Sus scrofa: one gene and its partners. The protein of the gene in region 3 interacts with the protein of the main gene of each other region in a pairwise test. Links are inferred from orthologs where the notes say so. Each region holds a gene or a part of one and is shown on either strand. Other genes may lie near its edges.

The links.
Region 1: the proteins of KIFC3 (region 3) and NEFL interact in binary tests that used the Homo sapiens proteins (3 or more experiments, as listed by UniProt). The two-hybrid records come from large-scale screens. The link is inferred for Sus scrofa from reciprocal best matches to the Homo sapiens genes KIFC3 and NEFL.
Region 2: the proteins of KIFC3 (region 3) and LENG1 interact in binary tests that used the Homo sapiens proteins (3 or more experiments, as listed by UniProt). The two-hybrid records come from large-scale screens. The link is inferred for Sus scrofa from reciprocal best matches to the Homo sapiens genes KIFC3 and LENG1.

What each region holds. Positions count from the first base shown.
Region 1 is NC_010456.5:8,994,072-8,998,103, reverse strand, and holds the start of NEFL (neurofilament light polypeptide), read left to right. Parts: upstream 1-1,203; 5' UTR 1,204-1,297; coding exon 1,298-2,344; intron 2,345-3,352; coding exon 3,353-3,477; intron 3,478-3,882; coding exon 3,883-4,032. UniProt on the Homo sapiens protein: Neurofilaments usually contain three intermediate filament proteins: NEFL, NEFM, and NEFH which are involved in the maintenance of neuronal caliber.
Region 2 is NC_010448.4:55,969,067-55,973,413, forward strand, and holds the start of LENG1 (leukocyte receptor cluster member 1), read left to right. Parts: upstream 1-1,518; 5' UTR 1,519-1,604; coding exon 1,605-1,736; intron 1,737-2,841; coding exon 2,842-3,021; intron 3,022-4,347. Other genes in the region: TMC4 (transmembrane channel-like protein 4), read left to right, coding at 148-278, 386-541, 771-849, 935-1,003.
Region 3 is NC_010448.4:19,668,516-19,672,116, forward strand, and holds part of KIFC3 (kinesin-like protein KIFC3), read right to left. Parts: intron 3,309-3,601; coding exon 3,135-3,308; intron 2,411-3,134; coding exon 2,263-2,410; intron 2,181-2,262; coding exon 2,050-2,180; intron 323-2,049; coding exon 211-322; intron 1-210. UniProt on the Homo sapiens protein: Minus-end microtubule-dependent motor protein. Involved in apically targeted transport. Required for zonula adherens maintenance.

The DNA.
Region 1 (4,032 bases), on a different chromosome or scaffold from region 3:
AAAGAAATCCATGGATTTCGGACTGTATCTGTTCTGTATTATCAGAGTGAAACGGGTGTAAGAACCACACGGCTGTTTGCTGTCTGTCCCAGAACGAGAGGTCTCCGGGGCTGAGTTCTGCTCCCGGGAGGTGCGCTCCGCGCTCGGGGCGGTAGCAGCAGCTTCCCTCTGAAAAGCAGCCACCTGCATGGCTTGTTGAAATCATCAGGTTGGGTGCTCCACGGGTGTAAAAAGTGGGAAAGGGGGTTTTAATGCGATGGAGTTGGCGGTGTGGAGTAGGAATTTAGGAGTGAAAAAGAAACAGGCAGCGTGTGACAATCTTAAGTTCCCCTCTGCAGAGCTTGCCGCTGCCTCTGCAAGTGGGTTTCTCTTCGGCTTAGTTTCAAACCCATTCTCTCCTCCACCAACACGCTTCAACATGCTCGAAGTATTCGAGGCTTCATTTCCCAGAAATAAATGAGAAAAATCTAGGAACACTAGATAGATATGAACACTAGGTTGATATGAAATGTTCTAATAGTTTAGACATGCTAAAACCAACAGCTGCAGTGCCGCAGTTTCCCGTGTGTGTGTGTGTGTGTGTGTGTGTGTGTGTGTAGAAGCACACAAAAGAAAAAAAAAATAACCAGGAGAAAGGGATAAAGGGACATGAAGAAAGTGCCAGAAACAGCGACAAAGAATTATAAAACTTTCCTCCATGTATTCCGCATTCATACAGTCTTGGAAAATCATTTGTCTTTCCAATACCCCAAGGCATGGCACTGCCACCATTAACACTGGGGAGGGGGGGAAGGGGGATGATGACCCTTGGTGGGGAAGGGGCGAGTTGGGGGAGGAGAGGAGGGTGCCTCTGAGGTGTAGGGATATGGAAATCTAAGGTGTCAGTAGGGAGTGGGAACCTGTTATTGGGGACACATTCGAATCCGATCAAAGCATAAGTAGGATGGGGTGGGAATAGGAAAAGGAAATGAGTTAGGGGTTACAGCGTCTCACAGAAAACCGAGGGCCTCAGTGAAAAGTGCAAAGAACGAGAGCCGCAGCATCCCCGTGGCCTGTGGCTCGCCCCCGCCTTCCTTTTGCGCAGAATCCTCCCCTTGGCTGCAGCATAGCGCTGCCCCCACCGGCCAGGCGCGCCGTGATCGATCGCAGGCTGCGTCAGAATCCTCCCCGAGTATAAATAGGGGTGGCAGGACCGCGCCGAGCCGCACACAGCCATCCATCCTCCCCTCTCCCTCTCTCCCCTGTTCTCTCTAGGCCCCCATCTCCCCTGCCGGGCAGAGGGGCACCGACCGCCACCATGAGTTCCTTCAGCTACGAGCCGTACTACTCGACCTCCTACAAACGCCGCTATGTGGAGACGCCCCGGGTGCACATCTCCAGCGTGCGCAGCGGCTACAGCACCGCGCGCTCTGCTTACTCCAGCTACTCCGCGCCCGTCTCCTCCTCGCTGTCCGTGCGCCGCAGCTACTCCTCCAGCTCCGGCTCCTTGATGCCCAGTCTCGAGAACCTCGACCTGAGCCAGGTAGCCGCCATCAGCAACGACCTCAAGTCGATCCGCACACAGGAGAAGGCGCAGCTGCAGGACCTCAACGACCGCTTTGCCAGCTTCATCGAGCGCGTGCACGAGTTGGAGCAGCAGAACAAGGTCCTGGAAGCCGAGCTGCTGGTGCTGCGCCAGAAGCACTCCGAGCCGTCCCGCTTCCGGGCGCTGTACGAGCAGGAGATCCGTGACCTGCGCCTGGCGGCGGAAGACGCCACCAACGAGAAGCAGGCGCTCCAGGGCGAGCGCGAGGGGCTGGAGGAGACTCTGCGCAACCTGCAAGCGCGCTACGAAGAGGAGGTGCTGAGCCGCGAGGACGCCGAGGGCCGGCTGATGGAAGCGCGCAAAGGGGCCGACGAGGCGGCTCTCGCCCGCGCCGAGCTCGAAAAGCGCATTGACAGTCTGATGGACGAAATCGCCTTTCTGAAGAAAGTGCACGAAGAGGAGATCGCCGAGCTGCAGGCTCAGATCCAGTACGCGCAGATCTCCGTGGAGATGGATGTGTCCTCCAAGCCCGACCTCTCCGCCGCGCTCAAGGACATCCGCGCCCAGTATGAGAAGCTGGCCGCCAAGAACATGCAGAACGCCGAAGAGTGGTTCAAGAGCCGCTTCACGGTGCTGACCGAGAGCGCCGCCAAGAACACCGATGCGGTGCGCGCAGCCAAGGACGAGGTGTCCGAGAGCCGCCGACTGCTCAAGGCCAAGACCCTGGAGATCGAAGCCTGCCGGGGCATGAACGAAGCGCTGGAGAAGCAGCTGCAGGAGCTGGAGGACAAGCAGAACGCCGACATTAGTGCTATGCAGGTCAGGCACAGGGCAAAGCACAGTGGGGGCGGGAGGGGGCTGCAGAGTCGAGTTAGAATTGGGGTTGGGGGGAGAGTTTAAGGCGAGCCTAGAAAGTGGAGATCAGAGATGAGGCATCTGCATTCAGCTCTTAGGGGGTAGAACTTGGCTCCTGGGAGGCTGTGGGAGGGGGTGGGGGCGCAACTGCAGTCCGCAAAGCTGTGCTTGGTGCAGCCGAATTTCTGTTCTGCATAAACCTGCCCAGGCCTGCAGGGGGTTGGGTGGGGTGGGGAAAGGTTGGAAGCTGGGCGTTGCCTCTGGCCTGCTTCTGCTGTTCTGCGTTCACAAGTGGCTTTACTGCACAGATTGAACCATCTGATTAATAAATACAGCAAAGAGCTCTCATTAGTTCTGAAGGGTAACTGTGACCAGCAGCTTTCTTAGTTTTACCAACCACTTCCTTCCCTTAGCAGGTAGACAGGAATACAGTCAAAATTGTAGCAGGTAATCATGGTCACAGTAAAACATTTATTTTTTAAGGACCTCCAGCTTCAGGGGAGGAGAAAAAATAATATAGAGACATAAAAAATATTTTGGATAAATTTTTAAAATCTCCAATTTAGATACTTTATTCTATGAACAGGTGGATTGCTTATATGTAATCTGGTTAAAGTTAACCAGTCAATGAGAAACAAAGATTTTTAAAAATCAGTTTAGTTCCTTGCAGGCATTTTATGATGATGGTCAGGCTGTATTATTAACAAACCAGAAATTTTTCTTCTATCAGTTTTTTTAAGCTCTCTCTCTCTCTCTTTTTTTTTTTTTTTGGTTTTCAAGATTTACGAAGCTGGATTTTTAGGCAAGAAAAGAAAGGTTTAAAAAGAGAAAAAGTAGTTATTTTAAGGGAGATTTTTATCTAAGTGTGCACCTTATTTTAATTAAACCTAGGCCTTTGCAGCTATGTTATAGTAAAATGAGAGCAGTAGGAATTTATACTTGGATTTCTTTTTTTCTTTGGTCTTCCAACAGGACACAATTAACAAATTAGAAAACGAACTGAGAACCACAAAGAGTGAAATGGCAAGATACCTGAAGGAATACCAAGACCTTCTCAATGTGAAGATGGCTTTGGACATTGAGATTGCAGCTTACAGGTAAAAATGGAGGGATGAAGGTAGCAGCCCTTCAGCCTTAGGAAGGAAATCAGACTTCTTTTACGGTGAATCAGAAACCTTCAAGAATAGTCTTGAAATAATTGGCTTTAAAATAAAAGGCCCTTTTTGGCCTTTTCCAAGAAGAATTTAATCCTGTAATAATAAGACCTGTTCTTAGCTTCCCATTACATTTCAAGTCTAATAGGCAGGGCTATTTTTAGGCCTTTTTTTTTTTTTTTTCTGGTCTCAATCATAACATCCCCAGTTGTTACGTTTTGATAGTCTTCAACCCTGCTCCTGCCTGCCTTTGCCTTTAAGGGTGGCATTGGTGAGAGGGATGAGTGATGGGCTCAGCACACTTCTGGTTTCATGTTTGTTTGTCCCATCTTCCCTCTGCCTCTGCAGGAAACTCTTGGAAGGTGAGGAGACCCGGCTGAGTTTCACCAGCGTGGGAAGCTTAACCACTGGCTACTCTCAGAGCTCCCAGGTCTTTGGCCGATCTGCCTATGGCGGTTTACAGACCAGCTCCTACCTGATGTCCACCCGCTCCTTCCC
Region 2 (4,347 bases), about 36 Mb from region 3:
AAGAGGGGACCCGGACTACTGTGTCCGATGGTGTTAAAAGAACTGGGACTCCAGGATCCTGACTGAGAAGAGGGGGCCAGGGTTCCCGGTGGAGGAGAGTCTGGGGCTCAGACGCCTGTGTCTCACATTCTCTCCTTCCTGCGCCAGCTCACCCTCTTCTCCACCTGCTCCCCGGCCTCCCGCACATTTCGGGCCTCTACTGTGAATTTCTTTTTCCCCCTGGTGCTTCTCCTGGGTCTGGCCATCTCCGCCGTTCCTGTGCTATATGGCATCTTCGTGTAAGTGTGAGAGGCACCTGCCTCTCTTTCCCTCCCTCTTCCCACTTCCCTCCAAGGTTCTGACTTGTGGCCATCCTGGAGCTCTGCCTGTCTGTCTCTGACTTCAGGATCCCACCTTCTAAGCTGTGTGGTCCATTCCGGGGGCAGTTGTCCATCTGGTCCGAGATCCCTAAGTCTATCGGAAGCCTCCCCGAGACTGCCCAGAATTTTCTCTTCTTCCTGGGGACCCAGGCATTTGCTGTGCCCCTTCTGCTGTTATCCAGGTGAGGGCCCCAGACTCCTGCATCCGGGTTTGAACGTGTGATCTGGGGTCCTACTTCCGAGAACGGAGGGGGCTGGGGGCCCAAACTTCTGGGTCTGCGGGAAGAAGGGAACTGGGATACTAGACTTCTTGAGTCTGAAGGAGGTCCGGGCCCCTGGTTTCTAAAAGAGTCTTACGTCGAAGATACACTAAGCGTGTTTGGGGAGTGGCTTTCATTCCGTCTCCTCTAGCATCCTGATGGCATATACTGTGGCCCTGGCTAACTCATATGGACGCCTCATCTCTGAGCTCAAACGCCAGATAGAGACGGTGAGTCAGGCCGGGTCCTTGGCAAGGGGTCCCGGGGAATCTAGAGATCTGTCTCACCTCCACCTCTCTTTACCCTTTACCCCAGGAGGCACAGAATAAAGTCTTCCTGGCACAGCGCGCTGTGGCACTGAGCTCGGCCAACGGAGCTCTTTGACCTTCCCAGCCTGGTTCAGGGTGACGACGTCTCGCTTTCAGACAGAGACCCACCCCCAGATCCTTTGAAGGTCTCGGCCGCGTCGTTTGGAAAATGAAAGAACTGGAGAACATCCCATGCCTTTCCAGCCCTGGGGGTCGCTGCCTCTCCAGTGAACCCCTTTCTTGTATCAATAAACACAACGGAGGCTGCTGAACGCTTTTTGAAACTTGTGTCCGGAAGCCGGGGGCAAGACTTCAGCGAGACAGAAGCCAATCAAATGCGTTGGCCGGGGAGGGTTGGTGTGGAGGGCATTTCCTCGAGAACACCTGGTGGGCGTGTCAGCCAATCAGCGGCTGCGTTCGGCAGCGTCAGGGCGGGGACACTTGTGATGGACTCGGGATCTTCAGGAGAGGCCGTCGCTGGGCGACCGCACGCGCGATGCTCCGCGATGGGAGGTGGGGGTCTCAGCCAATCAGCCTTTGCTACGGACCCGGGGGGGCGTGCCAAGTAGTCTAGGACCAATCCGTGACCGAGGCAGAAACAACAGGGAGGGGCCATCCTCCTGCCAATCGGAAGTGCTAGGAGGCGGGCCTGCCAGTTCGCGGACAGCTACGGCGCCATGAATATCCTACCCAAGAAGAGCTGGCACGTCCGGAACAAGGACAATGTGGCCCGCGTGCGGCGTGACGAGGCCCAAGCCCGGGAGGAAGAGAAAGAGCGTGAGCGGAGGGTGCTTCTCGCTCAGCAAGAGGTAAGCACCGAGCCCGGCCGGGGCTCCGGGGCTGAGCGCGCAGGCTCCTCGGGAGGGACCGGAAGCGGTGCGGCGCGCAGGCGCAGGGCACACCGTGGGGAATTTGGGGCTGGGTGCTTTGGAAGTATCTTCTCCTAGTGCTTTGATTAGCTCTCCTTGAACTCTCGCCGCTCTTGCTCTTCCCCCGCTCCTGTACTTCTCGAGGCCATAGTAGGAGCTCATGAAAAAACGAAGCCCTGAGTAGTTCAAGGAAACCCGGGCTACTTTTCAGTTTGCCTGCGCAAAGTCCCCATTTAGTGAGCGCCTGCTGCAGAACGCTTGACTTGCAAAATATCTCAAGCACCGTTCATTCTTAGAGGAGGCGCTATCATTTCTATTTTGCAGAGGGGTGAGATGCCTTCAGAGAGGAGGCCACAGCGAAATGACAGTGGAACAAGGCAATTCAGTTTTATCGGGCGAGCCCTTTGCCTGCACTGCCGGCCACACAGAAACACCAGAGGCAGTCTTTGTAACTCCTCACCTGTTTGATTTACACCTCACTTCCAGTCCTTTAGCTAATTTGGTGGTCAGCACTGGCTGGGGGATAGTTAGGGCTTTTAAAATTCTCATTTATCACTAGAAATTGCAAACCAACCGGGGATAGTGACTCGAAGCCCAACCTGGAATTCAGATCACCTGTTCTAATACATGTTTTGGTTGCCTTCATAGCGGTTTTTCTGTTTGTTTTTTTTTGGCAGTGCCCACCGCATGTGGGAGTTCCCAGGCCAGGGACTGAACCTGAGCCTTAGCAGCGACTTGAGCTGCTGCAGTGACAAGGCGGGGTCCTTAACCCGCTGCGTCACAAGGGAACTCCATTAATAGCTGTTTTTATTGTGTCACTGGAAATTCGGAATCCCTCTGGTTTTCTGTTTGAAAGGTAGCTTGCAAACCCAGATATTGCCTTATTTCTCCACCTTTTCTCGAAGCTGGGGCAGGTGCCTTTCCTGGCTCCGAGTGCCTCTGCTCCCTTCCTTACAGCCCCCGTCTGTGGTTGGCACTAGATTCACTGTTCCTTGAATCACATCTAGGTTCTGAATATTCTGCCTGTAACTTTCTTTTCCCCCAGGCCCGCACGGAATTCCTGCGGAAGAAAGCTAGGCATCAGAACTCACTGCCTGCGCTTGAAGCAGCAGAAGCAGGAGCCCCAAGGTCTGGCCCTGTGGATCTGTTTCGGGAGCTGCTAGAGGAAGGGAAAGGCTTGAGCAGAGGCAATAAAGAGTACGAAGAAGAGAAGCGACAAGAGAAAGTAAGTTGGTCCTGCCCTCTCCATCAGTCATGGATGGAGCTGGGGCTGGGGGAGCACCTTGCTTTCAGGTGTGACTGAGGGGTATTTAGGGACACAGAAGGAATCATATAGCTAATTTAGAGAACTCTTAAGAGTAATGAGGAAGTCCCTTTGTGGCTCATCAGTTAACGAACCCGACCAGGATCCATGAGGATGTGGGTTCCATCCTTGGCCTCGCTCAGTGGGTTAAGGGTCCGTTGTTGCTGTGAGCTGTAGTCTGGGTCGCAGACGCGGCTTGGATCCCCCATTGCTGCGGCTGTGGCGTAGGCAATGTGGGAAGACCCCTAGCCTGGGAACTTCCATATGCTAAGGGTGCGGCCTTAAAATAAAAAAGAAGAGTACTGAAACATAGCAGTCAAGAGAAGTTGGTTACTGTCGGGGTGCTAAGTACAAACCTGTCAGGTCTCTAACCTGGTGTCCAGATGTATAGATATCTGGGGAGTGTTAAGGAGCTTTGATTTTATTTTTTTTTAAATTTTTAAAATTATAGTTGATTTACAATGTTCTGTCAATTTCTGCTTTTCAGTAAAGTGACCCAGTTAAACATATATACATGTGTGTGTACATATATATATACATTCTTTTTCTCACATTATCCTCCGTCATGTTCCAGCACAAGTGACTAGACATAGTTCCCTGTGCTGTGCGGCAGGATCTCATTCTCTCTCCACTCCCACTCCCTTGGCAACAAGTCTCTTCTCCAAGTCCATGAGTTTGTTTCTTTTCTGTAGAAAGGTTCATTTGTGCCACGTATTAGATTCCAGATATAAGTGATAATGTATGGCATTTGTTTTTCTCTTTCTGATTTACTTCACTTAGTATGAGAGTCTCTTGTTCCATCCATGTTGCTGCAAATAGCATTATTTTGTTCTTTTTTATGGCTGAGTAGTATTCCATTGTGCATATGTGCTACGTCTTCTTCATCCATTGTCTGTGGATGGACATTTAGATTGTTTCCACGTCTTGGCTGTTGTGAATAGTGGTGCAGTGAACATACAGGTGCGTGTGTCTTTTTCAGTGAAAGTTTGTCTGAATATATGCCCAAGAGTGGGATTGCTGGGTCATACCGTACTACTATATCTGGTTTTCTGAGGTACCTCCCTACTGCTTTCCACAGTGGTTGGACTGATTTACGTGTAGGAGGGTACCCCTTTCTCCACACCCTCTCCAGCATTTGTTTGTAGATTTCCTAATTATGGCCATTCTGAACAGTGTGAGGTGGCACCTCAGAGTAGTTTTGATTTGCGTTTTCCTAATAATTAGTGATGCTGAGCATTGTTTCATGTG
Region 3 (3,601 bases):
ACCATTCGCTGGCCATGCCGTTTTGAGCAAATTCCCTGTGACGTCCCTGTGCTGATTTCCTTGTATACAAAGAGGGAATCACAAAAGCTCCTAAGGGATGCTCCAAGGAGTGGTGCTAGGGGCCATGGGGAAGGGTCACCTCCACTGATCAGCTTGGAGGCAGGTCAGGGACCCCTGCACTAGGTCCCCCCTTGCCCACCCAGCAGTCACCTTTCAGCCGCACCAGCTCATTGTGGCACTTCTTGCGCAGCTGCAGCTCCCGGCGGTACTTGCGCAGCAGCTCCTGGTTGTTGCTGTTGACCTCCTCGATGGCCTGGCCGATCTGGTGGGGGATGCGCAGCACCGTCAGGGGGCCAGCTCAGGGGTTTAGCTCCACCAGCTTCACCTGCCTGATAGGCTGCTCACTGCCTCCCACCCTGGGCTGAGTACTTGACATGTGCTGTCACACAGCACATTTCCCCAATTTCCCAATAACCCCTCGGGTAGGTAGTGCTTCCAAGCCCATTTTACAGAGGAAGAAACTGAGCCCCAGAAAGGCTAAGCCAATCTCAAGGTTGCCCTGCTGATGATGGGCAAAGAGCTGGGACTCAGCCCTCAACCTCACTCCACAGCACCAGCACTCGACTACATGATTCGGCAGGACCCAAATCCCAGCTGTCCCCTCAGGAGCTGGAGGACAGGAAGCAACTGGCTCAATGTCTTCGAGCCTCAATTTTCTCATCTGTCAAATGGGGATAACATCTAACTCATGGGTCTATAGGCGCTGGAAGGTAAAGATCTATCTCCAAGTTACACTTCACAGGGAAAAGAAACAAGATGCCGACCACACGTCCACCTGTACACACATGTATACACATACACACACGTCCACCTGTTCCCCTTTGCTGAGTGAAAAGAAAGTGCATATATACATATACCTATGTCAGTAGTTTTCATCAGGCTCAGAACACCTTTCAGGGAAAATGCTGGGAGACAGGTGTCCTTTGGGGAGCAGGCTGGGTGGCAGAGAAAGGCCTTTCCCCTTTCCGTCTGATACCCTTCTGCGGGGGCTGAACTTTCAACAAGTCCATGTATTACTGACATAATTTTTTAAAGGAGAACTATTTTCAATTCCCAAAATATATCAGTCTCTCTACCCCACAGAGCTGTCATACACATTCAAGGAGCTGATGGCTATAAAAGGCTCAGCACGTAGGAGGCACTTAAGAGACATTGGCTATTCTCATACTGCACAAGAACAGCTTGAGAAAATTAAGTCTAACAGATGTAAGACTATATGTAGCATACTTGAGATATAAAGATATGCATAGCACGTATGGGATATAGAGATACATGTGACAGGTTTGGTTCAAAGAGTCATGACAAGACAAATACCCAAAGACCTATGCCCCAACCAGGTTGCTGTTTTTTTTGTGTTTTGTTTTTTCAATGGCCACGTCTGCAACATATGGAAGTTCCTAGGCCTGGGATTGAATCCCAGCTGCACCTGTGACCTACTGCCACTGTTCTGGGCACCACAGGATCCTTCAACCTTTAACCCACTGTATGCCAGGCAGGGAATGGAACCTGAACCTCCACAGTGACCAGAGCTGATGGATTGGATTGGATGGTTTGATCCTTGCTTTTTTTTTTTTTTTTTTTTTTTTTCTGCTTTTTAGGGCCACACCGGTGCCATATAGAGGTTTCCAGGCTAGGGGTCGAATCTGAGCTACAGTTGCTGGTCTGAGCCACGTATGCAACCTACACCACAACTCACAGCAATGCCAGATCCTTAACCCACTGAGTGAGGCCAGGAATCTAACCAGCATCCTCATAGATCCTAGTTGGATTCATTTCTCCTGAGCCACCACAGGAACTCCTGCAGCTGGATCCTTAACCCACTGAGCCACAGCAGGAACGCCTAGACTGTTTCAAATGGTCTGAGGATGTGCAGAGGGGAGCTACTGCCTGGGGCTTCTCTAAGTTTTGGAAGGGAGCACTGGGTGGATGCTGCGTCCCACCAGGGGCTCCAGAGCCTCTCTCAGCTCCACCACCACAGCCCCCACTCACCTCGGCCTTGACGCTCTTGAGCGCCTCCTGCAGCAGCAGTGGGAAGCCGCGCACCTGGCGCTTCAGTCCATTGTAGTCGTTGGTCAGGGTCCGCAGTGCTGGCTGCAATGTCAGCAGGTTGGTCCGGACACCTATGGGGATACAAGGGGTGTGCGGCAGACAGGGCGAAGGGCCGTGGCGTGGGAATGGCTAAGGTGCCACCGACCGGCTCACCTGCCAGATTCTCGTGCACGGCCTTCATCTCCACCTGGGCTCTGGCAAAGGCCTCCTCGATGGCCCGGTTCTTGTCCTCCTCCAGGGACTGCATCTCCTCCAGCATCTGCCCGTGCGCCCGCTCCAGCTCTGACTCGTACATGGCAATCTGAGGCCAGGGCGGGAAGCTCAGCGCTGCCAGCCCGGGAAGGGAGGAAGCCCCGCCCCTCACACACAGACACGCACACACAGGTGGGGCAGGGTGGCGTCTCACCCAGAAGGGGCTGGGCGCTCCATGCAGCTACTTCCCGACCTAGGCCAGCATCAGCCTGGGTCCCAGCCCGTAACAGATCAGGCCCCCGGACAGTAAGGCAGAGCATTTGTTATATATATTTTTTTAATTATTATTATTATTATTTTTGGCCACCCAGCAGCATATGGGAAGGCCAGGGATCAGATCTGAGCCACAGTTGTGACCTAAGCTGCAGCTGCCACAATGCCGCTACTTAACCCACTGTGCCGGCTGGGGATTGAACCTGTGTCCCAACACTCCCAATACACCACCGAGCCTGTTGAGCCACAGCGGGAACTCCATTTGTTATAAAACTGACTAGAGCACCCTTCTAAGAGTGTGTGCCAGGCCCTAAGCGAATCTTGTGATTAGGTCAAGCCCCACCGGGAGGTGGGTTCCGTGATCAGATCATTTTATAGGTATGGAAACAAAAACCTGCCCTTGGTCACACAGCCAGCAGGGAAAGGAGGGACTGAATCTTGGGTGTGTCGGACCCCAAGTGCTGGGCTGCTGCACTGTGCCAAAGGCCAGCCTGTGGCACTGGGTGGGGCACACACATGCTGCCCAGATAGACCGGTGCCCCCTTGCAAGTGCCACACACCTGTGCCCGGAGCTGTGCAGTCAGCTGATGCGAGCTCTGCAGCTGCTGTTCCATCTCCTTCAGCACCTGCCTCTGCATGGCCACCTGCTCCTGCAGGTGCTGGTTCCGGGCCTGGGACTCATTGAGGGCCTGCTTGGTCTTGGACGACTCCACCTCCACTGTCTTGATGACATACTGTGAGGGGAGGGAGGGACAGGTGCATGGAGGTGAGTGGGTGCCTTGACCTCACCCTGGGCCCCTGAGGGGAAGCTCAGGAACATCTGATCAACAGCCCGCAGAAATAAACTAGAGCAGCCACGAGGTCTTAACTCTCCAGAGTGCTGCAAGGGCCTCCTGGAATCTGCTCACCTTCATGAGCCCACCACAAGCCTGGCTATGGCCCAAGACTGGGCACAGAACAGTCAAGAAGGGCAAAGACAAGGGCAAATCTAATGATGCATGGTGTCCGTGGCTGTCACACAGCAGGC